Danio rerio: one gene and its partners. The protein of the gene in region 5 binds, or shares a complex with, the protein of the main gene of each other region. Links are inferred from orthologs where the notes say so. Each region holds a gene or a part of one and is shown on either strand. Other genes may lie near its edges. The genes, in order: uxt, asdurf, mbtd1, ing3, ruvbl2, pfdn6 and anp32e.

Region 1 (2,846 bases), on a different chromosome or scaffold from region 5:
ATAAAGTACCTCAAAGCTGAAATCAATTGAAATATTTAATATACTTTCTAAAATGCTATGTATCTCTTTCCAAAAACTTCTAACATTAGGACATGAAAATGGTCCTGTGAACCGCAATGCCTCCAACAATAAGTTCCCAATAAAAAAAACAATGTTTCTCCAGAAAAATTCTCTCTATTACGAAGAACGGGAAGTAGCCCATACATATATTTAGCCAGCCACTCCTCATTTGAGATGATAATGCCACTTTCTTTCTCCCATCTTTCTTTAATGTAGAGATGAACCCCCTAGTGATTTATACAATTTAGTTATAGTTTTTGACATTGGTTCAGCCATATAAGCTGAGGAGAATATTATAACTAGAGCACTCTTAGTCCTATCGTTATAATAGTTGGCAGTTCATTCCGCTGTGGCGACCCCTGATAAATAAGTGACTAAGCTGAAGGAAAAAGAAGCACAAAAAGTGATCTAAACATTAATAACAATCCCACTGACACATATTAACTGAAAAATTTTACACTTTATTCAGCAGCTATTTCTGGAAACAACAGTACAACCTGTTAAAAGGCAACGTTCTTCTGAACATGATTGCCATAATGTTCACATTGTTTGAAACAAACATTGCAGTCATATGTGCAAAGATGAATACACTGTGCTGTGATTGGTGTATGGTACTAAAACACCTCTCTCCTTCTGTCCTCTGGAAGATCCTTCAGTCCTTGCAATTCCCTCAACCCCTGTGAAAACAGAGTTTTATCACATTTTATTACATTCTAAATCACAATAAATGGTAAAAACAAAAAAGCAAAAGTAAAAAGCAAGTTAAAAAAATGTATATTAATAATCACGTATACCTCCAGAACCATGCGAATGTTGGCTTTTATCTTTGCTGCATCTTTGGTAAGAACTTCAGTATACCTAAACATTCAAATAATGGTAAATATTTGCACTGTAACACAAAAAAGGCTGATTTCAAAGGTAAAAATGCATAAGCTGACAGTATTCATTCATTCATTCTCTTTTCAGCTTAGTCCCTTTATTAATCTGGGGTCACCACAGTGGAAAGAACCGCCAACTTATCCATGAAATGTTTTACGCAGCGGATGCCCTTCCAGCTGCAACCCATCTCTGGGAAACATCCATACACACTCATACACTACGGACAACTTAGCCTAATTCAACTCTACCGCATGTCTTTGGACTGTGGGGGAAACCGGAGCACCCGGAAGAAACCCATGCACATGTAGGGAAAACATGCAAACTCCACACTGAAACGCCAACTGACCCAGCTGAGGCTCGAACCAGCGACCTTCTTGTTGTGAGGCGACCGCACTACCTACTGTGCCACTGCATCGCCCTGATTAACTGCAAGTTTTCTTAAAACATACAGTAATTAGCGGTAATCTTTTAGCACAGAATTTCCTGCTTGACAATTGAGTTTTTATGCATTATTATTGACATTCCTATGGTTCTTTCTTTTTCCTTTCCTCATTTTCATATTCTTATGGTTGTTTTTTGTGTAATAAAGAATATGATGTGTAGATGTTAGTACGGCAAAACAATGATTAATGAAATATGCTAGTTTACCATAAAAATGTGTAATTTATTTTACGGTTTGTATCGTATTTTTATCTGTAAAATACTGGCAACCACAGCTGATGTTTTTTAACCAGGAATTTTATGATTTAGTTTTTACAGTGTACACTATCATTAAGTCTATTTACTTATGTAAATATGTGTATACATAAACATTTGTTCAGTTTTTATATTAATTTAAATAATTTTTTTGACTGATACGCAAATGATTACATGATTTATTTAATTTACAGTGTGTACCGTTGAGCCCCGGCTGGGTCAGTTGATGTTTCTGTGTGGAGTTTGCTTGTTCTCCCCATGTTTGCGTGGGTTTCCTCCGGGTGTACAAATCCAAAGACGTGGTAGAGGTGCATTGGGTAAGCTAAACTCTCTGTAGTGTATGTGTGTGTATGAGTGTGTTCTTTTATTTTACAGTGAATTACTAACACCTGTTAATTACATTTTGAATTCCTAACATCTACACATCACATTCTTTGTTAGTAATCCAAAACAATGATGTATTAACACTATTAATGAAATATATTTTATAGTTTGTACTGTATTATTTTCAGTAAAATAACGGCAAACACAGCTGTCGTTATTTTTAACCATAAATTTCCTGAATTGTTTTTTACAGTGTATACTATAACTAGGCTAGAGCTAATACATATTTTTAGCCCATCAAGTATTTACTTACGTAAATGTGTGTAAATATACATTTATTCAGCTTTTATATTTATTTTAGATATATTAGATAGACTAATATGCAAATGTTTATATGATTTATGTACAATAAAGTTTGCAAAGTAATATTTTCTGTATCTTTTAGTTGATGTAATATATGCAAAACTTGCTTTGTTTACCAAACAAGTGGATCTAATGGAATTTGCATTGTAAACCTTAAATAAAATTTACAAAATATATATCATTTGTTTTCAGTTTTTAGTTATTATGCTCCCAAAATTATTCTGCATGAATCTGCAAATTATTTATTATTATTATTATTTTTTTTAATTTTGAGCAGAAATATAAAAAAATGCAGCTTTTGTCAGGCCTTCACTATAACTAAAAACCAGTGCTGTCAAATGATAAATCACACCCAAGATAATGGTTTGCATTTACATAAATATACAAAGTACACTAAATTGGCCGTAGTGTATGTGTGTGAATTAGAGTGTATGGATGTTTCCCAGTACTGGGTTGCAGCTGGAAGGGTATCCACTGTCTAAAACATTTGCTGGATAAGTTGGCGGTTCATTCCACTGTGGCGA
Region 2 (4,220 bases), on a different chromosome or scaffold from region 5:
GAATGCTTTCAGATTTTCAACAGAGGTTTGAGAGGCGTTATGATTTTGTTCAGTTGTAAGTGATGAAATGGATGTGTTCATCGGACAAACAGGGGAGGTCAGGTAAAGTCCAGAACTATTTGTGTTTAAAGAAACACATTTGGGAAGACCTTCACATTTCAATTCCGGGCTTTCAATTGGCTTGTCGTCACTGTGGAAAATCCATGGATAAAGTTCAAAAATAAATGTACCATCTAGTGAAGTGTCTGTTAGGTCAAACCTGTAAACTCCACCAGGTGGTACCTCCTGCCATTGGGATTGACTATCATCTGCTGGCTGGGAAGCAACTGATACGAGTGTGAAAAAAGCTCTTTCAGGATTGAATTTCCAAAGCAGACTTCTTCTCCCGAAAAAGTCCCTCCCGAACCAGATGCAGCGCTCAGACTTTTGGTAATAGATAAAGGCCCACGGTCCTTCGAGTTGTGATAACAAACATACAATATCTGAGGCACTGGTGGCCATTGACAGTTGATGAAGAAGAACTTTGGTGTCATTTTCTTCCTGCTCTAATTTCAGACCACCAAACACCTCTCCATTCCAGAGAAGCATATTCCCAGTGTCATCTTGAAGAGGTTGAGGGGTCAGGCAACCCCTCATATGAAGTACATGTGCAGAGAATAGGACACTGCAGTTTGAGATTTCTTTTGTAATGTCTTTGCTACAATTGGGTCCTCTGTGTTTGAGATTTTGAAGCACATTCTCCTCCAGTGGATCATGTGGTGTGGTCAAACTGACCACACAGCAGATCCCACACATGATATCACTTCACTATATATCTTGATATTCTTTCCGCATGTTATCCAGGTCCTCTGTATAACAGAATATTATGACAATGTTAGAAGAACACACTCAAAATGGTGGCATTAGTATTGTATTTATGTATCATCTATCAAAAAAGCAGAAACAACTCAAGTATAACAGAAACACTTACGTTTACAAGAGCTAAGGGTTTCTCCTTTGTCTGCCAGAAAGAATATATTGCTGTTGGGTTGCTGGGTGTACACTCTCTGTGAATATAATCTTAGTATTACTGGAATGTGATGATATCAAGTCAAGTTGAGCTTTATTGTCATTCCACTACATGTGTGATCTCGGCATGGGACGGTAACCGGTTTCAAGGTTTACCGCGGTTTGGAAAATTCAAGGTTTTAATCCCAGTAAATTGTTCTGTTATACCGTTCCCAAGTTATATGTAAAAGTTTTTTTATATATTTTTATGTGTTGTATAGAAATCTACGTTTTTCAAACTAACGAATAGAGCAGAAGTCAAAGATTTATTTTAACTATTTAGCCTGACATGTTTACTGTTCCAAAATATTATGTTCCTTAAAATAAATAATTTGTGTTCAGTGGGGAAATTATAAATGTTTGTTCTATTTTACCCATACATTTTAAAAAAGAGAGAGCAGTAATCACTTTCACAATACTGTGATACCGTGGTATTTTTATACAAGGTTATCATACCGTCAGAAATTTATACCGGCCCATGCCTAGTGTGAACATACAGAGAAACTAAATGTGCAGTCTCCCAGGACAACGGTGCTACATAAATTAATCATAAATACAAACACAACTCTGCACATAAGAGCTATTTTAAAAACCTACGCATAACTATAAGATACTTCACTATACACATGGACTGGCTATAGAAGTACTCTAGAAAATCTCCACAAAAATGGGCCAGAAATGAAACTCAGTCCTATTTGCTTCATTTACAAGTCTGCCATAAGAAGAACACTGACTTTGAGGTAAATTATCTTAAAATAATAAATTCAATAGTTCAAAGGAATTATCCAATTTGAATCCCCATGGGTTAGAAAATGGCAACAGATGATACATTTAAGGTACTTTATAAGTTGATAATTTTGTCAAGCTTAAATTCTACTTTGCTTTTAATTGATGTCAAATAAACTGTTTCACAATTACGTTTTATCTTTCATAAATTTAACTGGAAAAATATCTCTAAACATCGAAGGAACTTCTTAGTTGATATTTTTAAATGTGAATGTAATTAATATCATGGTAAGACTTTATTTTGATGGTCCCTGTTGCACATTTTTCTGACTAAAGTTGTACTGCAACTAAATGCCAGTTACTTCTCATTTGGGTATTAGTAGACTGTCTGCTTAATATCTGCTGATACTGCTGCTTTCAACATTTCACTGACTAAGAAACTTTGCAAGTACATGTCAATTTACACCAACCCCACCTGACAGTCTACTTATAATCTATTGCGAATTAGTATAGTGGAGCATAAGTTCATATATTATATTGTATGCTACACTAGAAAACATTTTAGTATATATTGCCTTCTATAGCGATGTGGTTTGACTTTGTTACATCTATAATTAAGTGAAAGCATCTGCTACACCAAATGCAGAATGACTCTTGATAATATATAGAAAGTGACAAGACGATATGACGTTACATACCCTGTTTTTCTTCAAGTTACTTAACTCGTCCACAACAATCTTTTGCTCTTTTATCTGCGAATGAATAGTTATGTTTTTAGGATCATCAAAAAACAGAAATTACTAAACATGCTTAACGCGTTTTACTGGTGTCAACTGTATACTATAAATTACAAAAAACATATATGATAGACAACCTTTTGGTTCAGCTCCTCTTTTTGTGCGCGCTCTTCTGAGGCCCCAGGCTCAGTTCGCTGTATGTTCTTGGAGGACATTGTTTATTAATACGCTTCAGATCATTTTTAGGGAAACATCTCCACGAGCAAGTAACTCGTTCGTCGCACAAGAATGACGTATGCGCCAACGACGCTTTAAAAGTGCGTCACGTAATCCTAACCCCATTATCCCCCATAAACAAAGCCTGTTAAAGAATAATGTTGGGTGGATAAATCTGCAGCATCTAAACAAAGACGCGTTGTTGAATGAAACAGGGAATCTAAGTAATGTGGTCAAATACGGTTCAAATACGTCGAATGCTTTCAAATAGAGTTTTTACCCGGATATTAACGACTTTTCATCGCGAAACAGCGGCTAGCCCATCTATCTAAACCTGATATTATCATATTATCTTATATCATATTTTGCCATTCTTCTAATGTACGATAAGATGGTAATAAACAAAGCCTATCATAGCTCTAGGCGTACATTATCTTATCCAAATATTTTGGTTTATCCTCAGTAATTTGAGAGCTATCCTAAAGAGGATTGTTTGCATTTAACTTTCAAGATGAACAAATAATGCTCATCTTAATGGAAAAATTGTTCAGGGTGTCCGCAGGGACTTTAAAAGTCTTACATTTCAAAAACAACATTTTAGGCCTTTTAAAACTTTACTTAAAAGGGTGTTACAGGTCTTAAATAATTTTAAACAGGTGTTAATTTTTTTGTCCATGTAAAGCTATTTAATCGGTACAAATAACAATTATTCTAAAAAAACAATTAACTAAATTGTATATTCTAAAACTCTTTACCAATTTGGTTCAATTATCTTTCTTAAAATAAACTTATTTTGTTTATAAATAAGTGTTTGAATTGTAATGGGGCAAGTAAAAACAAATTGCACTGGTCCTTAGAAAACAAGTTTGACATTCATTCATTCATTTTCTTTTCAGTTTAGTTCCTTTATTCATCAGGGGTCGCCACAGCGGAATGAACTACTAACCTATCCAGCATATGTTTTACACAGCGTGTGCCCTTCCAGCTGTAACCCAGTACTGGGAAACATCCATACACGCTCATTCACACTTATACACTACAGACATTTTAGTTTATTTATTTCACCTATACTTCATGACTTTGGACTGTGGGGGAAACCGGAGCACCAGAAGGAAACCCACACCAACATGGGAGAACATGCAAACTTCACACAAAAATGCCAACTGACCCAGTCAAGACTCGAACCAGCGACCTTCTTGCTGTGAGGCAACAGTGCTAACCAATGAGCCACTGTATCCCTCCTAAATTTTGTACATAGGAATAATGCTCTAAAGTGAAGCGAAGAGAGGGGTGGGGGGTTGTGCATGAACCCCGAATCATATCTCTAGGGGCCCCCAATATGCGTAAGCCCTTTAGGACTGTCCTGACCCTACCACAGGGGTGTCCAACCTTGGTCCTGGAGGGCCAGTGTCCTGCTAAGTTTAGCTCCAACACACCTGCTGGGAAGTTTCTAGTATATCTAGTAAGAGCTTGATTAGAGTTGGAGCTAAAGTC
Region 3 (3,500 bases), on a different chromosome or scaffold from region 5:
GGAGACATCTGAAAACGGAGGCGGGGCTGCAGACGTTCGCCTCTCTGATTGGGGCTTTTCCTGAATATTAAGTAGCCTAACACGCACAGTTCAGTCCTGCTTTCTCTCCGTGTAAGTTCAGACTTCGTAAGTTTGATCAAGGCTGCAGTCTCTTCTTCTCAGTTTGATATGGAAAAGCAGACTATACCGAGGACACGGGTAAATCTTCTAAGGGAACAGTGTACTGTATAACTTCATTCACATCACCCTGGCTTCGTTGTTTCACTTTCTTAAAAATAAAATGTAAACATGATTTAAGGAACTGCCTATTTTCATTTTAATATTAGCAACTTAGACAGCAGACATGTTGAGGCGTCGTGCTGCATAAGATGAGCGTCATCTTCACTGTGTGGATATTTATAACAAAACGGAGCCGATAACAACTGCCTCCTATTAATTTTAGTGAAAATACGAAACACAGCCTCTCTTTTGCTGAGTATCAGTTTTAAGAATCGATAATGGCCATTTTAAAAGTATAACATACAATAAGTTTATACATTATAGGAAATAAAGGCAAGCGATCAGTCAATATACAGAATGTACGTGGTTACATTAATCATTAACTTATCTTTGCACTCAGCCAAAACACGTTACCTGAGAACAAGTAATAGATTCCAATGCCCAAAGTCAGGGAATATGTCGTTAGATAAAGATAACAAGATAAATGAAATATCCCGTTTAATAAATATAGTGAGATTAGATCCAGCGGGAGATGCTTGATGAGAAGTCCGACTAGCAGAGCTCTCGTCTGGGTAGATGGGCTGAGTGTGATTAAATGTTGAATGTGATGAGTTTTCAACAATACTTAATTGAAACTTTATTTTTTTACATGGTTTAATAATTTTTTGTTATTAAAATTGAAGTTCCTGTTTCAAAGCTTACAGATAGATGGCTAATTTGTATGTCATTGACACTTTTGGCACTTTTTTGGAGTATTTTCATAAGTTTTGTTTTTTCCTGTAAATGATTCAATAAATACCGTACCGTGACATTCATACCGAGGTATTACCGTACCGTGAAATTCTGATACCGTTACATCCCTAGTGTTGTCCAATGGAGTTTGCAAAGCTTTGGCTGTGAAGTCCTGTACTGCTTTCCAGAAAAAAAGTCATCTTTTTGCAGTCCCCAAAAATATGCATGATTAATCTTGAATATGTTTTACAACTGTGACACCTGGATGACACATTGGGTTACATTTTGCTTAAATGAAGTGGGGTCACATACATCCCATGCAAAAATTTATATATTTTTTGTTTAACTATTTTGTTATTGGAAAGGGAAATAAAAGTATTCTGGCATTTTGTCTCCCACTGATCCTCATTAAAATTATATTCCAAATCTCTTTGCCACACATTTTTAAGTGATCCTAGTGAAGAAATGTAACTGTCTTAATGAACGAGTCATTCAATAGATTCATTCAGAGGGCTCAATCATTTATAAACAAAAAAAGTACTAATATCGAGCTGCATGTATGGCTTGGTGTACATAGATTTTGGTAGGCCGACTGAAAAAACAATAGCCCCGGGACTTCAGGCTAACAGATTTAGCGAGTGACCTGAAGTGATCTTTATTAAATAGTCACTGAATCAAATTGATTCATTCAAAACGAAGATTCATTCAGAAAAGAATCATCACTGTTATTTAAAAAAGCAAAAGTGTTTCATTTGGAAATTTTTTGTGGGTGAAAAAAGAAACATTACCGACCATGTTATACAGGGTATATACAGGAATCCTACAGGTAATTTCAATACCTTTTTAAGACTTTTTAAAGACCTTCTCAGAATATTTTAAGACCTCATCGCCACTTCAAGTTCTAATCAGTATCAAACCTTTAACTTAATAAACAGTTGTTAATAAACAGTTGCAGTTAAATAAATCAATGGAGCACAACCATGCAACAGAATTCAGATAAGCTCGGAAGAAACAAGCTTGAAAGAATAAATTATGAGGTTGTTTTCAGGCATCAGCCACTGTTTAAACTCGTCTTTCTCCAACCAGGAGTACGCAAAATGTACGCTTACGTTTTCCCATTTTGCCATCTGTTTCACTCTATGGTTTCGCTACATGTGGAGAACATCACATCATCTGGTCGGAGGAGCTTGGCCAGACACAACTCGGTCCGAACCAATCGCGTGGATCGAGGACGTCCTTGTTAATATTAGGAGGAAAATAAATATATTTATGCCTTTTTGGAGTCAAACACTTTGGACAACGCTTTTAAGACTTTTTAAGGGCCTTAATTTTCTCATACTTGATTTATCAACTATTAATACGTTTTAAGACCCTGCGGACAGCCTGTTACATCTAAAATCTAACTTTTATTGTTAAATTACAGTCCACTGCAAATGACATGGAAAAAAAAAAAAAAAAAAAAAAAATCAACAACACTTGCAAGCATGACATTAGTGAAAAAATAGCCTCTTGATATTACCATATAATACTATGCTATTATATTGTATAATCTTAAAGGGCAGTGTCAATATTGAAGTGAGGCATTCTAACAAGCAGTAAATCCATGCAAGCCTTAGGTTTTTGTTTACTGCAAAATGAGTAGCATGCTAAGCTTATATCAGTGCACCTTGTTAAGACAGTAACTGCAATATTACCAGACTATACAGACTGCACACAGCTATGCACAAAGTACAAGATTGCACATCACAAACTTTTAGAATCAAACAGTTTTCACCAAATTCCGTAAGTGTTATAGTGTAACAAAATTTCCTACTAAATGGTTATATTTGTCACATTTATTGTCACCTTAAAACTGAATGCTCAACCATTAAATTAGCATATTTGAATAAAAAAATAAAATAAACATAACACATTTTAAAATATGGAATGACCTGTGGGAACCAAAATTTTAATGCCCTGTTAGGACCATAATGACTAATGACAAATCTTACCTTTCTTACAGTAGCAACACATATAGCGGAGAGATTTAGAGGGTCTATTGCTTCCAGCTTCATTCCGTCTTTAAACCAATCCCCATTCTGATCCACATCTTTAATCTGTGGATTTAAAAGATGATACATGTGAGCAAGTGGAGTGTATACAAACTGTTGAATAAAAAAGCAATTATAAAAGCACCTTAAGAAACAGCTGTGAGGGAGCATCCATCTGACCCTCAATCTTCTTCGACACCTCTGCAGAGTGCAACATAAGAGACATGTACATCCATAAGCCACAACAAGGTCATCAAATGTTATTTATGCTGAATTGACTTCAAGAAGGTTCATCTAAAACTCCCGCACTGACCGGATCTTTTGAAGCGATGTCCAATGCTTCGTGACCAGCCAATGGAATGGATGAGTGGGCTTAACATGTGACACCAGAAGTCATCAGTGCCGTCCTGGCTCTCCTCGTACACCAGGCGTAACCGGCCACCGATCACTTGTTCCACAAGAGCCACACGAGTGCGGCACAGGTGCGTCTTGTCCACCACTTCCACACGCATCAGTTTC
Region 4 (4,111 bases), on a different chromosome or scaffold from region 5:
ACACTGATTTTAAAAACTTGCCAACTCCTACCTTTTTTATCTTTTGAAATTAGCCAGTTATCTGTAAAAAAGGTGATTGAGAGGCGTCACTCACGTCTTTCCAGGATCTCTGTGATGCCAGCGTTATCTGCTTCCAACTCCATTTTAAACTTTGCCAACTCCTGATCCAACTTCCGTAAATGTCTATCAACCTACATAAGAGGCACAAGATCAACACACAACGGATTACACAAACCCACACACAAGTTCAAATGTCACTTCTCATTAGGAAAAATGTATTTAAAAACGTCTATTAAATCTCACGAAAAAGCATTAGTATGCATTTAAATAGCAAACAAAAAAGCTTCCCAGAAATCCATTGGCTTTTTACTATTAGTGATGTGCTGCCACCTACTGGGACCATACAGTACTGACACAAAGGCTAGTGTTGCTAGTTACAGTAAATTACTCACCAGGTCATAAATTTGATTGGCTAATTGGACCTTTTCATCCGCATCTTCTAAAGCTTTATAGTAGTCCTGGTAAACAGAAAGAGATCATTAGGAAAGCATATTATCTTCTAATGCAAAACTATCCATTATTAATTTTTTATCAATCATTGTTATGACTTAACCAGCAGTTGTTTCATCATGATTTCATCATTATTTCATCATTATGCAATTTAAAAAATAATAATGAAAATAAGGAAAATATTGAATAACAAATGAAATAAAAACAAAAAAATAATATATCATATCTTGCTAGTAACAAAAAATATGCACTGTCAGTTTCAGCGTAAAGATCTCATCTTATACATACAAACTTTATTATATCAGTTAAGCAAATGTTGTGCTTCACTTAGAATGTAGTTTAGATGTTTTATTAAATTAAATTGCAATATAATTTTTATTGTTCAATATATTTTGCAGCTGATTCCGGGAGTAAACAATATGGGTAACACTTCACAATAAGATTGCATTGGAAAACATTAGCTAATGCAATTACTTACTAACATTAACAAATAATAAGCAATATATTTATTACAGTATTTATTCATCTTTTTTAACATAAAATACAATTGTTTATTGCTAGTACTTGGTAACTCAGTTGATTAACTAATGTTAACAAGCAAAAGCATGGATTTTAATAACACATTACTAAACGTAGGACTATGATTAATTCATAATATGCAAATATTGTTCATCCTTAGTTAATGGTAATAAATAAATTAACTATACTGGAACTGTATTGTAAAGTGTGGTTGTAATATTTAATATCCATTCATTTTAAAATGTCATATATTGCTTTTCCCCCCCTTTTGTTTAATTTAAATTTTGAAAAGAGTCAATAAAAAGTGTCCAACCCAAAAACACTGATGGTTCAAATAAGGAAAAGCATTATCAACATTAAAAGATCTCATACTACATTATTATCACCTGCAGAACACTCAGTTCGACTGAAGTGCACATCATCTGTTCTTTACCTTTTTGATGATTTCCATCTGTTCTTCCCTCCATTCAGGCTTGTTCTTCTTGGCATTAGTAAAAAACTCATTGACCCGCTGCTCAAGCTGATCCATCGCATCTGAACAAAGGAACATGATCAAAAGTGAAGTCAAGAGCCCGACTTGGCTCACAACCACACAGATGGCGACTGTGGAAGTCTATGGTTGGTTAAAGATCTCAGTAGATCATTAAAAGGCTGTAGGTGCAACCCCTACAAAGGGTGATTCATGAATCACTGCTAAAGCTGTGGAAAAATATCCAGATCCCAATCACCACAAAATAAAATGAAATTATTTAAAACTATATAATATAAAAATATTTAACTGATGTAAATTAGGTTTATCTTAATTATAACTACAAAACTAGACTTGAATATACACATATAAACATTGATTTAATAATATTAGTCTTTCCTTATGATTTTGGTGGGAAATGTAACCGGGAAATTACATGTAATGAAAACTGTCTATAACATTTCCAAGAAGAAATGTCTTTGTGATAACTGTTTTGTAAAAATGATTTAATTAGAAATATATACATTTCTAACTAGAATGAGTACCTATGCATGTTTATGGTTGATGCAAAACCTTAATCTGTTAACAAATACATGCATTTGCTATAAGTAAACTGTGTTCCCGTGTGATGAAGACAATCAAAATCTTGTCAATGGGGGCACTGTCAGACTCTAAATTACTTGGGGTGACCAAAAAAATGCATTTCAATGCAATAATGTATCCTAAGTTTTCCCTGGTTTAGGTGACACTGGTGTTACTCAACTTCCACATGCTCTAATTGCACTTAACATCAGTGTGCAACATCACAACACATGCATGCTTTTATTATGCTTGCAAATTCACCAAACAGATCTCCACTGATATGAAAGGCTCTTTACGTTAGTTTAAGTCAGCTGTGGTGTTCTAAGGCACAAAAGTGAGTTTAAACTGAAACCGTACTCTGCACTTGCAGGTCCATCTCTCTCATTTCCGTAAACCTGTCGCGGAGATCCATGGGTAGCTGCTCGATCACTGCCGGGAAGAAGAACAACCGCGTTACAAGCTAACGGATGTGACAGCAAAACACGCCCTAAACCACCCTCTAAAACACCTACTTACGATAATACGAACATATATAGATAAAAGAGCTGTTTTACTCACTTTCGAGGTAGTCCTCAAGGTACAACATTCTGGCGGAGATGGTTTTTCGGAGGTTTCAGAGAAAGGGTGTTTTTCGGCAATATGGCGTCGCGGGCAGCGGAGAACTGAAGGGGAGGAAAAAACACAAGCTGGCGGGGGAGGGGCTTACGTGAAGGGCGTGGGATCTGATTGGACGATGGTGGAGTTGCGCGGAAGCTGCACTCTTTATGAAAATCGTTTTTATGGAACTTGTAGTTCTTTCAGTTGAAACTACGTCAAGCGCATTGTGGGATGTCCAACGCAATCTGCCTTTTGTAACTTTTAGTACTTTGTACATTTTAGTACGATTTGCTCATCTCCCAATAAGAGGTAGGTATATATATATAAATAAATAAATAGATAAATAAATAAATAAATAAATAAATAGCCATTTTCGTTCTGTTCTAAACATACTTGTTTACATTAGATATTATATCACGTAAATATAATTGTTTAGACACAATTGTTTAACAGATAAATTCATTTTTTAAATAAAACTGACATAACAGAAACGTTCAATCTTTAAGAAAATAAAAAAGCATATAAAGCAAATAAAGTAACTAACATGTAAAATTAAAGTAAATTTCCACAGAGATAAAGGCTATATCATTTATTGGCCACATAAACATTACTTAAACATATTTCACTGATTTTAAGACAAAAACTTGTAGATTATTTTATAGTAGCATTCTTTTTGAATACATTTTCATTTACAAAAGAATGATTATGTATAACATGAAGAGAAAGATGTAAATGATAAATAAAGCATGCAGAGTATAAAACATTGCAGTAATACAATCAAAAAAGTCAATTTTACACTAATAATTGTTTCAAGTACATTTTACATACTTTTGAAATATATGTTTTATCATTAGAAAATCTGTAGTTTAATTTGTAAATCAGGTATGTCCAAACTCGGTACTGGAGGGCCGGTGTCCTGCAGGATTTAGCTCCAACTTGCCTCAACACACCTGCATGGATGTTTCTAGAAAGCCTAGTAAGAGCTTGATTACCTAGCTAAGGTGTGTCTGATTGGGGTTGGAACTAAACTTTGCAGGACATCGGCCCTCCAGGATTGAGTTTGGACACCCCTGTTGTAGATCAGTAGCAGTGTTAAAGAAGTTACTAAATTGTATAACTTATAGAAATAATTCAAATGTTTTGTGTCTCTTAATTTTGTATCCTCATGGTTATTAGAGACATAGAAGACTAGTTTGAAGACTGCAGGTTTAATGCAGCTTTGGCCTTTGGAGGGCAGCACTGACTGCAATATTTAATGACAGTTCTGGCAACTTAGTGCTTCTGTCTGTGTGTAAGAGGCTTTTGCACAACAGTGGAAGACAATGTAACTGCCCAGCTGTCTCTGGAGAGGAAGAAACCTCAGCCTGACCCCACGTTTATTGTAGACAGTTATGATTTGGTTCAGTCGTGGTGTAAGAGGCTTTTATAAAACAT
Region 5 (3,500 bases):
CAAGACACAGTTCCACTGTACAATTCAGAAGGTGTACCTTTGGGGAAGTTATGTTTTTTTAATCTATCAAAAAATGTATCATTTTTAATTCATGTGGTTGTCTTGTTGAATGCTGCTATTTTGTGACTGTTGTATGGTTGTATTTATGTTATCAGTGTTAAAGACAAATTTCCTTTTACTGCCAGAATAGACAAACTTAAAACAAACAAACTAAATTATTTATATTCAGTGAACAGAAAACACTTCAAAATATTTAAAGGCATGGAAATTTTCGTACGAGAAATTGCTTGAATGTGTTTTTTTGGATATATTATTTTACCCATATGTTTTACATTTTATTTTCACAAAGATTATTTGAAACTTTAAATCTGAATTTTTGTAAATGTAATTCTGAGGACTTGAAAATTAGATGTCATTTCTTTGATCATAGATTTAGTTATTATAAATTCAATAAATAATACAGCCAGGAAAGATTTTTTGCTCTTTTATAAAAAAATTTTAAACAAATAATAATGCATTAAAACATAGATTTTACTAAAAAGAAAAAGCCAACTCTTTCTGTTGGCTGGTAAGGTAAGGTAACACTTTGACTACCTTACTAGTCTGGGTCTACTTACCCCAGGAATAATTTCAGCTTTGCCTTCCTCTCTCCATTCAGACACTTTAGCATTGATCTGCTCCCGAACCTCTGACTTAATCTCTCCTGTGTCGCCTGCAGAACAGACCATCAAACAACACAGCGCATACTCAAACATCTATGAACAGATATTATTAAAAAACACCACTCAAAGAGCAGTATAAAAACAATTACAAGAGCATGGCAAACCTGAAAATAAGGCCAAGAATCCCTGTGTGCGGCTGTTGATGACGTCAATTTCATGAAGAGAGACGGTGTGAACAACCTCCTTCCTTTTTTGAAGTTCCCCCTCTGGACACTGCACAAACTGCGTCTGAAATAAACATTAAACACAATAAACATATATAAAAAACTCTCTCTGGGAACTGGTGGCATTGATTGATGGATTCATTTCACAGATGAAGACAAACTGTGTACCTGTGCTCCCATGGCATCATAGTCTCTTGCTCGAGTAAATGACCGTCCAAGCTTGCTAATCTTCCCTGTGGCTTTATCAATAGTAATCACATCTCTGCAGAAAATGAAATATGACATTATGAGGTCATTTAACAATTTAAGCACATGAAAGCCTGAATAATGAGGTTTGGCTCAGACCTCAAAAGTTTAGTTTTGTTGTTTATTCATATAATAAATGAGAATTATATTGTATAAGTCTTGCCAAAGTAAACACACTGTTCAAAGCATATTTAATCATTTATCAACCTAGCAATAAATAAAAGTAATCATCATCATTTTCAAACGATCACTATAATTATTAACACTGCTATTGTGCAGCCCAGTCTGGCGAATTTGTTATAAATAGAAAATGACCACAGATTTCAGCTTTAAAATCCACCTACCCGGCTTGTACTCTCTCTTTACTGAGGCTCTCGATCATCTTAGTCCCCAGATCATATATGGTTTCCATCTCTGTCGTCTTCAGAGTGAGTTTACCAACTTTTGCACCCTTAACACAATCACAGAAAGGAGATAAACTCATTCACAACCAACAGGGTTTACTTAAGGACATTCCAAGCCTCTATGTAAGCTCAACTTATAAAAGTAGCTGAAAACTAATTTCTCACTTTCATAGTAATTTAAAAATTCATTTCCCACTGAAGGATGATAAACATCTTTAATAATGCTTCCTAGCCAAACAATTGAATTGGTTTAGAGAGCATTCTAGAAAGTGTGTTGCCTGATTAAATCTTCTGTTTGTCAGGGAATGTTTTTTATCTGGATTTTATCAGATTAAATAAACCTTTATTTTGGTCTATGGAAAATAGACATATGCCGAATTGCAGATATTCAATAATTCACATGAACGTGAGCAATATTGCTATCGTGGGCACAAAATACAGTGACTAACTTTTAGAGTGCCTTTGAGGAATATTCAGATTGTTGTATTGGCAGTGGTTCAACACAGCACCAAATGATTGAAGTCTAAGCAGGGCAATTTATTTTCAAACATTAACATTTTCACATGAACATCTATACAGTAAGGCTTCTTTTGTTAACATCAGTTAATTTAATTAAAGCCTTCTGTACACACCATTTAAAGAGGAGCTAAAGTGCAGGACACTTTGGGATTCAGGTGTGTGATTAAACAGACAAATACACTTAATATGTAAACGTGTGCCCTGCGTGTTTTATTTTAAACACAACTGATTTTCTCTTAAATGAGCGCAAACAGTTACTAAAGTAATCGAATGCTTTCCTTATAGATCTGTGCATTCTTAAAGTGACCTCTACTATGAAACAAAACGAGAGATTCGTTTTTAGCTCTTCACTTCTTTAATAACAGAGGTGTCACTTTTTAATGGCATGTACTGATTTTGGATAATATGCCTGTTTAAGTAATCTTTTTTAAACAGCTTAGCTTAATATTTTAATACAGAAAACAGTTTAATCGGAAAAGCAATTAATCTGAACAAGACAAAACTAATACCAGCAGAAGCCTAATAGAGAAAGAGGAGAAGACTCACTGTTCCTGTAGCAGGTCTGTCAATCTGAATCTCTACCACCTCTCCTTCAATGATCTCCGTCTCCTCTCTGGCAGACCAAAAACACAGAACATAAGTCGTCATGCCATTGTTATTGCAATTAAACTAACCACATACCAGAACAATCAAAACAACTATGAATCTATAATATCCAATGAAACATGATCCAAAATAAATGTTAATCCTAAATTCATTACACACTTTGATAAGGAATATTATAGCTCACATAAAACAGCAAATGAGTAACTTATATTTTCAAATCCTTAATCTGCAAATCTTTTAATCCTCAACTGAAGATGTCCACTCACTTTTCACAGCTCAAAATGTCAAAGTAACAAGCATATAAGGCTTGTCTTTGATTGAAGATTTGACAGTAATGTTTATTTCTTCATTCAGGCTCACTCACTTTATTCTGACTCCTATGGCCTTGCGGAATGCTTGGCTCAAAGCCTCAGTCTTGCTCATCTCCAGAGAGAAAATCTCACTCCCAGCCAGAGCAGTGAAAGGTGTGTCAGGACCAAGTGACTGGGCAATACCTGGACATTAAACAGAGCTCACAGTTATGAACAGGTACTGCACTTTATTTACTATAATATAATATAATATAATATAATATAATATAATATAATATAATATATGCGTGTGCATACATTGATGAACAGATATATAACATTTTAGTGAAATAAGATGATAAAAACCATAACAAAAATAAAAATAATAAAAAACAAACAATAACAAAAAAATTAATAAATAAATATCGCCGTTAATCTCATTTCAAAGTTGCGTTGGAAGCTGGGTCTATTCTACGCAAGCTATGGTGACTTTCACCTTGATATTTTAGCACTGATGTATACCTGACCGGTGAGCTGTGCTCTTCAGGA
Region 6 (4,158 bases), on a different chromosome or scaffold from region 5:
ACAAACTACTGTGTCGCTCCCACAAGTAACAAGCATAATCAAAACAACTGAGATTAAAGTGTCCAAAAAAAGTGATTTCTTCAACTAAAATTGCAGGTTCAGAGGACTAATCATCATACAAATGTTTTATATGAATTTTACAAAGTGACAACCTCTGTCATAACTCTAAAACCATGAACACATTTCATAATACACATTCAACTCACAGCAAAGATATCAGGTTCATTATAGAAAAAAGCAAAAATAGCCACACTCAAAATGACTGCCTGACAAAACAATAGAATTTATGAATTATTTATGTTTTATTCTATTATTTCATTCCTGCCCTTATGAAATTGAACCAAGGGAAGTGTGTGTGTGCGCGTGTTTTGACAGACATATTATTAGTGTAACTAACGTTACAGGTTTACCACAGATACTATGGTTAAATGGTGGTTAATGGTTGTTTGTTTGTTTGTCATCTTAGAAAATTTGATTTTTTTATTGAAAAAAATAAAAAAAGTTTTGAAGAATCACAAGAAGAAGAATAACGTTACTAGCAAATATCGATAAAGTTAAAACATCATGACATCTATTACGAAAATTAACCATGGTTTTACCACAAAAACTAACCATGGTAACCTCAAATCAACATGGTTTTGTTACACTAACCCCAGCTAAACTGTAGTACTTTCAGTAATACTGTGGTTATAAATAACAATCGATACGACAAAAAAAGTATGATTACACTTAACTCTTTAAACCATGGTTCATTCTCGTAATAGATGAATATAGCACATGATACTATTTTACCCTACATATGTTTAAAACGCTGCTTAAGGTGCAGATTTAGAACAGTCATTACATTTGCTTGTGTTATAGAAAAAATATATAACTGACTTTACCTGCTGTTGTGATTCTATGTGGTCGCGCACACCCGAAAAAAGACCTTCACGTTAGAATTTGAACCATGCGCGCTGCCATATTGCCTTGACTGTCACTACAGAGGGCTTGGAGGAAGAGGATAGACTGACACCACATGGACAGGAGAGGCACTACGCTTTTAGATACTGGAAAAATTGTACCCATCGTATTAATCCAAAAATCACATTAACTGATGCGTTAAATCTACATATGGTGCGTAAAATTATAGAGCAAATTATTTAAAGGTGTGTGAATAAACATAATACTGAAAAAAATTGTGTATGTTTTTCTTAAACACTAGATGGCGAAGTAACTCTTTTTATCAGCTATCGTAAAACCCCCATGTGACGCAATGATATGACGTCATTTCCCGTGCGCCTCAGACTGTGTGCTTGAGTAGTGTGCTGCTGACTGTCTGCATTTGTCATAAAATATCGTGATTTTTATTATTTAGCAATAATAATAAGTCAGACATTGGAATAGCAGGTGTGATGGCTGAAGCGATTCAGAAGAAATTGCAAGCTGAGTTGGAGAAATATCAACAACTCCAGAAAGGTAACTTACAGCACGAAAAGCTCAGAGTTAGCAATCCAACACTCCCTGCATGGGCATCTTTATATTGAGGCAAAGTTGGTTTTATATTCGCACATTCGTTCAGTGACAATGTGTGGCATGCTCCCTATATTGTTTACCATGGTACTTTGAATATTCGGTCTGAAATCACATGTAAATAAGACTACATTAACGTTATCACTATTTATTTGACTGAATAATGGTGTAATTTGATAGCCATCGTCTGCTAATATGGTTTCACTATTTAGGATTTGCTAACTACAGAATACTTTTCGGAATTTTTAATAGGAGAAAGTCTGAATGTGTAAATATAAAACCAACTTTACCTCATTGTGTAAATTGGCTTTCTCTCTAAAAATCTTATTAAAGTATTTTTGTCAATTCTAAATGGTAAAATCATATTAGCAGCCATTGACTATCAAAATCACCATGGTAAACAATGTAGGGATGTCACAAGTTTTCACTGAACGAATGTGCGAATATAAAACCAACTTTACCTCAATCATCTTTATGTTCGGCTCCTTTAATAATTTATATTTAACGTATTTGTAGTAATTTGTTGTATTCAGGTTTAATATCTATGTAGTGCAATGCACTGATAAAGTACAAATGTCACGGTTATGTTGTATTTGGACTTGATTTAGCTACCCAGAGCTATTTTAGACAAAATCCACATTCAATCTACAAATTCTCATTATTGAACGTTTTAAAAAGGCTTTTACTATTTTATTTTATTTTATGATTCATTGTGTAAGTTTCTTGGTATTTATAGTAACACCATTATGAATATTCATATAGCCAAGTTATACCAGTGTACACTTGCACATTTCCTGCAACATATCTTTGAATAAATAAAAAGTTTTAACTAAATTAGAATAAATATAATTAATTTGAGATTTTATAAATCATGATTGTTCAAAAAACATATACCAAATAATGCATATATATATGTATGTATGTATATATGTATGTATGTATGTGTGTGTATATATGTATGTGTGTGCTCCTTTAATAATTTATATTTAACGTATTTGTAGTAATTTGTTGTATTCAGGTTTAATATCTATGTAGTGCAATGCACTGATAAAGTACAAATGTCACGGTTATGTTGTATTTGGACTTGATTTAGCTACCCAGAGCTATTTTAGACAAAATCCACATTCAATCTACAAATTCTCATTATTGAACGTTTTAAAAAGGCTTTTACTATTTTATTTTATTTTATGATTCATTGTGTAAGTTTCTTGGTATTTATAGTAACACCATTATGAATATTCATATAGCCAAGTTATACCAGTGTACACTTGCACATTTCCTGCAACATATCTTTGAATAAATAAAAAGTTTTAACTAAATTAGAATAAATATAATTAATTTGAGATTTTATAAATCATGATTGTTCAAAAAACATATACCAAATAATGCATATATATATGTATGTATGTATATATGTATGTATGTATATATGTATGTATGTATGTGTGTGTGTATGTATATATATATATATATATATATATATATATATATATATATATATATATATATATATATATACATACATGCATGCATGCATGCATGCATGCATGCATACATACATACATACATATACATACATATACACACATTTCAAAACATGAATTCCCAGAGAAGCTACCAACCACAGAGTCATGGGAGCAGAAAAAATCAATCTGTAAATTTTTAAAAAATTAAATACATTTTAAATAAATAAATAAACATGTGTTATGGATGTGACGAAAAAAGTCTGCGAGTTTACAGTATACAACATACTTTGATGTTGATGTTGATGTTGTTTTTATTTAATTTAGTGATAATATATATATATATATATATATATATATATATATATATATATATATATATATATATATATATATATATTAAATATATATAAATAAAATAACATTAAATATAAACATTTCCCCGAGATGGGTTGCGGCTGGAAGGGCATCTGCTGCGTAAAAACTTGCTGGGTAAGTTGGCGGTTCATTCCGCTGTGGCGACCCTGGATGAATAAAGGGACTAAGCCCACAAGAAAATGAATGAAATAAAAACAATATCAACCTTTAAAACTTTCAGTAATGATAAATCATTCATCATTTTTTTCGGCTTAGTCCCTTTATTAATTTGGGGTTGCCATAGCGGAATGAACCGCTAACTTATCCAGCACGTTTTACACAGCGAATGCCCTTCTATCTGTAACCCATCACTAGTAAACTATACACAATCATTCACACACATACATTACAAACAATTTAGCTCACCCAGTTCACCTACTGACCCAGCCGAGGCTTGAATCAGCGACTTTCTTGCTGTGAGGCGACTGCGCTGCCCACTGCGCCACCATGCTGCCCAGTAATGATAATACTGTAGCTTATTATAAGCTTTAGATTTTAAATTAAAAATAGATTTTATTGATAATAGAAAATATGTAATTGCTTTGATTTTAATGTCTCATGATTGCTCAAATATTTTAAAATTAAAATATTTAATGAAAGGCAAAATTATAATATTACTACATATTATAAAACAGACCAGTGTATTGTACTTGTGTAAACTTTCACTTTAATGTGTTTGATTTCTTTTTAAAATAACAGACATATCATGTATTCATATTTTTCAGAAAACATTATCCAAAAAGTGTGAGATATAGTGTAAAAATGA
Region 7 (4,003 bases), on a different chromosome or scaffold from region 5:
ATTGGAAAACCAATCTCAAAGCACTTAAGCTATGAAATTTGTGCGACATATCATAGGGTATATTGACGCCAATGTGTGTAGAGTACATCCCATTTTGCAAATGAATATTTTTCTTAATTTATCAGTAAACATAGGTCATATATTTTAGTGCATTTAAACAAAATAGATTTTTTAAATAGGTATATTTATATATAAAAAAAAAAACATTTAAATTCATGTGAAACATTGCAAAACAAAATTATTTATTATATTTTATAAATTCAGTTTTTCTTGAATTTTGCTCTATTTTAAATTTATTTTTGTTTAATATTTTTCCCTAACATAATATATATATATATATATATATATATATATATATATATATATATATATATATGTGTGTGTGTCAGATAAACAGCCATACATGTTAAGGGAATTGTCTATAATTAATTTATGACCCATGTAAATGAAATCCCATTTATTAATAGTAATAAAATTGAAATACATTTCTTTTCCCAAAAAGTTCAAAAACATTGGAAAATATATAGCATAAACAAAATTAACGGAGATGGAACATTTAGAGACAGCAAAAAAATAACTGAATATGGGTTGGAATATAAATGTTTTTTTTTTTTTATTTTGCACTACACAAAGTATGAATCCTTCCTGTTTCTGTAGAGCTGCTGTATGCTATTTATCATTGGATAGCCCCGCCCCCGTCTCCCACCATTGGTTGAGCCTGTTTTTAATTCCAATTATTGAAACAAACAATACACACATATTTTCTAATGTATTTACACTTTTACATTTTAATGTAAGTAATTAATGTATTTAACAGGAATGATTTAATTTAAATGGGATTTAAATTATAATATAGACAATTCCTTTAACATAGATATTTGTTTATCTGACAAGTTTGAAACTTTTCTATATATACAAAAAAAATGTATTCAACAAATAAACAGATGTGCACTTAAAAGCTTTGAGGAAAGACGTGCTGATTCTCCCATTAAAAACAAACAGAAACGTGCACGCGCGCGCTCACTGTCATGCACTGCAGCCCTAAAATTTAAATATTCAATAACTTGTTGCCCTTGTGGAAAGATACCTACATTTTGAGCACGTGATGTGTGTGTAATGTAGCCCTGGTAATGCCTCCCCCACCTCATCTCACAGGATTTGGTGTGTGTGAATTTACAGCCAGCTCTTCACAAGATGTTCACACAGCGCGCGCAAGATTTTTTAAACCGGTGGCGCAAGATACACCCAAGTTAAAAGCCACGTATCGCTTATGCACGTCCACCATGTCATGTCAGACAGAGTATCAACTCAAGCTCGTGTAAAAGATCCCATCCATCATTACCCCATTCAAAAGAAGCGTGCTTCAATACTTCGGTTCAGGCAAGCCTACAATAATCTACTAAAATCGGAGAGGAGGAAGGGGGGCTCGCCCTTCACCATCTGCCACATTCCTTCAATTAAAACGGCGACTGACATCCTAAACAGCTTCCTAAAGCCCAATGCATAGTTTAACGTCGGGAATAAATAATTTTGCAGACGGTTACATAATTACGCCATTAACGTAACCGCGTAAGAAAATGGCAACTAGTTTTTTTTTAAACCGCAGCGACTATTTCTGGCTCTTATGCGCCAATTATTCGTTTCTCCACACCACGTAAGCGTAGTGAATCAAACCACTGAACTTTTATTAATAATAACAGAGTCAAAGCTTCAAAACATCGTCATCTGCGTCTCAACTATTGATGCAACAAAATGACTTCCACTCCCCGCCCGTCAACACGGAGTCGAGCAGAAACACACACACATCCTCACCACACACACCGCGAGGCGCTGCAGAAGCCATGAACGCTTCATAATACAGTTTGACCTGACATTCGCTCCATATGTGCTTGTGCTCTCAAACCCTGAACATTTTAGAGGGTCTTAAGATGAAGAACGGAGGCGAGTGAATGCCTAATGTTGAGGAGCCGGAGAGAGTAAGATGTCCGCCTATGGAAGACGAAACTGCTCGTTTTTTAACGTACGTTACTAGATTAGAAAAGCCATATAGTAGGGAGCGCATCTGTGAAGCTAGCGTATAATAAACTTTTTATATGAAGAGATAGGAGATTTATTCGCGTGATGTTTTGCATGTAAGGAAGACTGGGGTAGGAATTATATAACAATACACAACAGTTTTACTTTAATTGTTACCGTTTCCTGCTGGAAGCGGGAACAATATCGTATCGGGGCATTGTAATAACATCGTAAGCAAATTAGACGACACTTGTTGAGTAATAAACATATTTGCGACCGATAAAAATACTTAATATCGAAGTGTGTTATTTTGAGGTGCTTGTTGGGACGCCCACATCGACAAGTCTAATGTAATGGCGAAGAGATCGTGTGAGGAGTTCACAAAAGATTCACCAAGAGTTTAACGCGCTTAAAATTACGATTATATCGACTACTTGTTTGTGTATATCCAAATATGCAGTCTCCAAAAATCCAAATTGGCATCCCGTTAAGGCGCCCATGTGGTCTCCAAGCCGCGCTGCCATTCAGCGGACTCCACTGACTATTCCGAGCGTGCAGGATAGATAGACAGACAGGTTGCGAACTAACATCATTTCGCGTTTCTGTGAACAAAATAAATAGTTAAAGCGCTCACCTCTGCTGGAGTTCTGTTCCTCAGCTCTAAGCTAATCCTCTTCTTCATCTCCATTTGGTTGGTTATTGCTGCGCTGGGATCGCGTAAAGAAAATAAATTTGTCAGAAACTCCGGAGCGCGGACCAACGGCTCGGCTATCTTCAATGGCTGCCGTTCTCCAACTGATCCTCCATGATACCTCGCACCCAACCCCCTTTTTGAGATCCCGCCTACTTCGCGTTTCGATTGGATGATCGCTATTTGTCAACGCGTGATTGGAGAACGTGCCTGTCACTCAAACAGATCACGCTTATCAACATAATCGGTCTTTATAGCCTGACGCGATTGGCTGGAAATACGCGCGCAGTAGATTTTCGACGGGTCGTCCAGAACGTCAGTATGAAGCTTTCAAACTGTAAATCCGCCTATTCTTTGTTCTCATTGGCGCCCTGAAGCGAAGTCCGTGTCCTTTAATACTCCAATAAGTCGAAATTAATTTATAGACCAGGGATAGATGGTGTATTCTGAAGAATCTAAAGTGAACGCCAATGCTTAAGAGTCAAAAATAAAACATTTTTACATCTTAAAATATAATTTATGTTATTTTCACCTTAAAACACGTGTAAAATGTGTTCTGTGAGGTCAAAAGAGTCTTAAACATTGAGTATGTTCTCTACAATCATTTGTTCTATACAAAATGGCTGACCATAAACCCAGACAGTCATGGTGGCTTAAAGTCTGCTCGCCATCTGTCCCATAATGTGCTGCTGCTGATCGCTTCACTCACAAAGGCCTATTTTAGTCATTGAGCACCAGCAGGATATTCACTTGTTATTATATATTAATAAACAACCTTCATATTTTTTTCCCTAAAAATGTCTTCATTCATTTTAAAACAGCATAAAAAACAAGTATCCCCACGGAAATGTAAAATGAAGGCTTTGAGCGCTGTGCATTAGTGCAGTACACCAAGGTGACCACTAGGGCTGCGTGGCACACTGACCCTGAACCGCAATGGACACCACAACAGATCTGCTAAGCTGATTTATCTGGGCTGCCAGAGAAGAAGTGAATAATCTTTTCTGTATGAAACAGTCATTAGGGCAGACTCTTTGTTTGATTGTGTATCATATATCAATCTTTTCTTTTACAATTACTTTTTAAAAGTACAGATCAGATATGTTTTTTACCCTTTATTATCATAATTTTACCATTATTATTGTCTTTATTGTAGTCAACAGCCTATTTTAGATATTTTTAACCTTTTAGGTGCCAATTACCCGCATCCTAAATTGTTAAAGAAAGACAGAGTCACTCTCTCTCACACACACTATCCCCCTAAAAAGACCCAGTTTATACTGTAAAAATTACATA

Evidence for each region.
Region 1: ruvbl2 (region 5) and uxt share a complex: the UniProt entries of both Homo sapiens proteins name them as parts of the PAQosome complex. The link is inferred for Danio rerio from reciprocal best matches to the Homo sapiens genes RUVBL2 and UXT.
Region 2: ruvbl2 (region 5) and asdurf share a complex: the UniProt entries of both Homo sapiens proteins name them as parts of the PAQosome complex. The link is inferred for Danio rerio from reciprocal best matches to the Homo sapiens genes RUVBL2 and ASDURF.
Region 3: ruvbl2 (region 5) and mbtd1 share a complex: the UniProt entries of both Homo sapiens proteins name them as parts of the nuA4 histone acetyltransferase complex. The link is inferred for Danio rerio from reciprocal best matches to the Homo sapiens genes RUVBL2 and MBTD1.
Region 4: ruvbl2 (region 5) and ing3 share a complex: the UniProt entries of both Homo sapiens proteins name them as parts of the SWR1-like complex. The link is inferred for Danio rerio from reciprocal best matches to the Homo sapiens genes RUVBL2 and ING3.
Region 6: ruvbl2 (region 5) and pfdn6 share a complex: the UniProt entries of both Homo sapiens proteins name them as parts of the PAQosome complex. The link is inferred for Danio rerio from reciprocal best matches to the Homo sapiens genes RUVBL2 and PFDN6.
Region 7: ruvbl2 (region 5) and anp32e share a complex: the UniProt entries of both Homo sapiens proteins name them as parts of the SWR1-like complex. The link is inferred for Danio rerio from reciprocal best matches to the Homo sapiens genes RUVBL2 and ANP32E.

Annotation. Positions count from the first base shown.
Region 1 is NC_133183.1:10,257,341-10,260,186, reverse strand, and holds the end of uxt (protein UXT), read right to left. Parts: intron 919-2,846; coding exon 855-918; intron 738-854; coding exon 675-737; 3' UTR 501-674; downstream 1-500. UniProt on the Homo sapiens protein: Involved in gene transcription regulation. Acts in concert with the corepressor URI1 to regulate androgen receptor AR-mediated transcription. Together with URI1, associates with chromatin to the NKX3-1 promoter region.
Region 2 is NC_133184.1:42,816,361-42,820,580, forward strand, and holds asdurf (ASNSD1 upstream open reading frame protein), read right to left. Parts: upstream 2,801-4,220; 5' UTR 2,726-2,800; coding exon 2,648-2,725; intron 2,526-2,647; coding exon 2,472-2,525; intron 1,047-2,471; coding exon 971-1,046; intron 849-970; coding exon 808-848; 3' UTR 796-807; downstream 1-795. Other genes in the region: asnsd1 (asparagine synthetase domain-containing protein 1), read right to left, coding at 1-795.
Region 3 is NC_133187.1:35,459,040-35,462,539, forward strand, and holds part of mbtd1 (MBT domain-containing protein 1), read right to left. Parts: coding exon 3,295-3,500; intron 3,183-3,294; coding exon 3,127-3,182; intron 3,048-3,126; coding exon 2,943-3,047; intron 1-2,942. UniProt on the Homo sapiens protein: Chromatin reader component of the NuA4 histone acetyltransferase complex, a multiprotein complex involved in transcriptional activation of select genes principally by acetylation of nucleosomal histones H4 and H2A.
Region 4 is NC_133179.1:11,169,977-11,174,087, reverse strand, and holds the start of ing3 (inhibitor of growth protein 3), read right to left. Parts: upstream 2,801-4,111; 5' UTR 2,667-2,800; coding exon 2,639-2,666; intron 2,510-2,638; coding exon 2,438-2,509; intron 1,564-2,437; coding exon 1,463-1,563; intron 519-1,462; coding exon 453-518; intron 192-452; coding exon 95-191; intron 1-94. UniProt on the Homo sapiens protein: Component of the NuA4 histone acetyltransferase (HAT) complex which is involved in transcriptional activation of select genes principally by acetylation of nucleosomal histones H4 and H2A.
Region 5 is NC_133180.1:31,379,708-31,383,207, reverse strand, and holds part of ruvbl2 (ruvB-like 2), read right to left. Parts: intron 3,156-3,500; coding exon 3,026-3,155; intron 2,669-3,025; coding exon 2,602-2,668; intron 1,584-2,601; coding exon 1,477-1,583; intron 1,149-1,476; coding exon 1,055-1,148; intron 951-1,054; coding exon 827-950; intron 713-826; coding exon 618-712; intron 1-617. UniProt on the Homo sapiens protein: Possesses single-stranded DNA-stimulated ATPase and ATP-dependent DNA helicase (5' to 3') activity; hexamerization is thought to be critical for ATP hydrolysis and adjacent subunits in the ring-like structure contribute to the ATPase activity.
Region 6 is NC_133189.1:35,060,256-35,064,413, reverse strand, and holds the start of pfdn6 (prefoldin subunit 6), read left to right. Parts: upstream 1-1,358; 5' UTR 1,359-1,394; coding exon 1,395-1,458; intron 1,459-4,158. UniProt on the Homo sapiens protein: Binds specifically to cytosolic chaperonin (c-CPN) and transfers target proteins to it. Binds to nascent polypeptide chain and promotes folding in an environment in which there are many competing pathways for nonnative proteins.
Region 7 is NC_133194.1:45,163,932-45,167,934, reverse strand, and holds the start of anp32e (acidic leucine-rich nuclear phosphoprotein 32 family member E), read right to left. Parts: upstream 2,801-4,003; 5' UTR 2,705-2,800; coding exon 2,651-2,704; intron 1-2,650. UniProt on the Homo sapiens protein: Histone chaperone that specifically mediates the genome-wide removal of histone H2A.Z/H2AZ1 from the nucleosome: removes H2A.Z/H2AZ1 from its normal sites of deposition, especially from enhancer and insulator regions.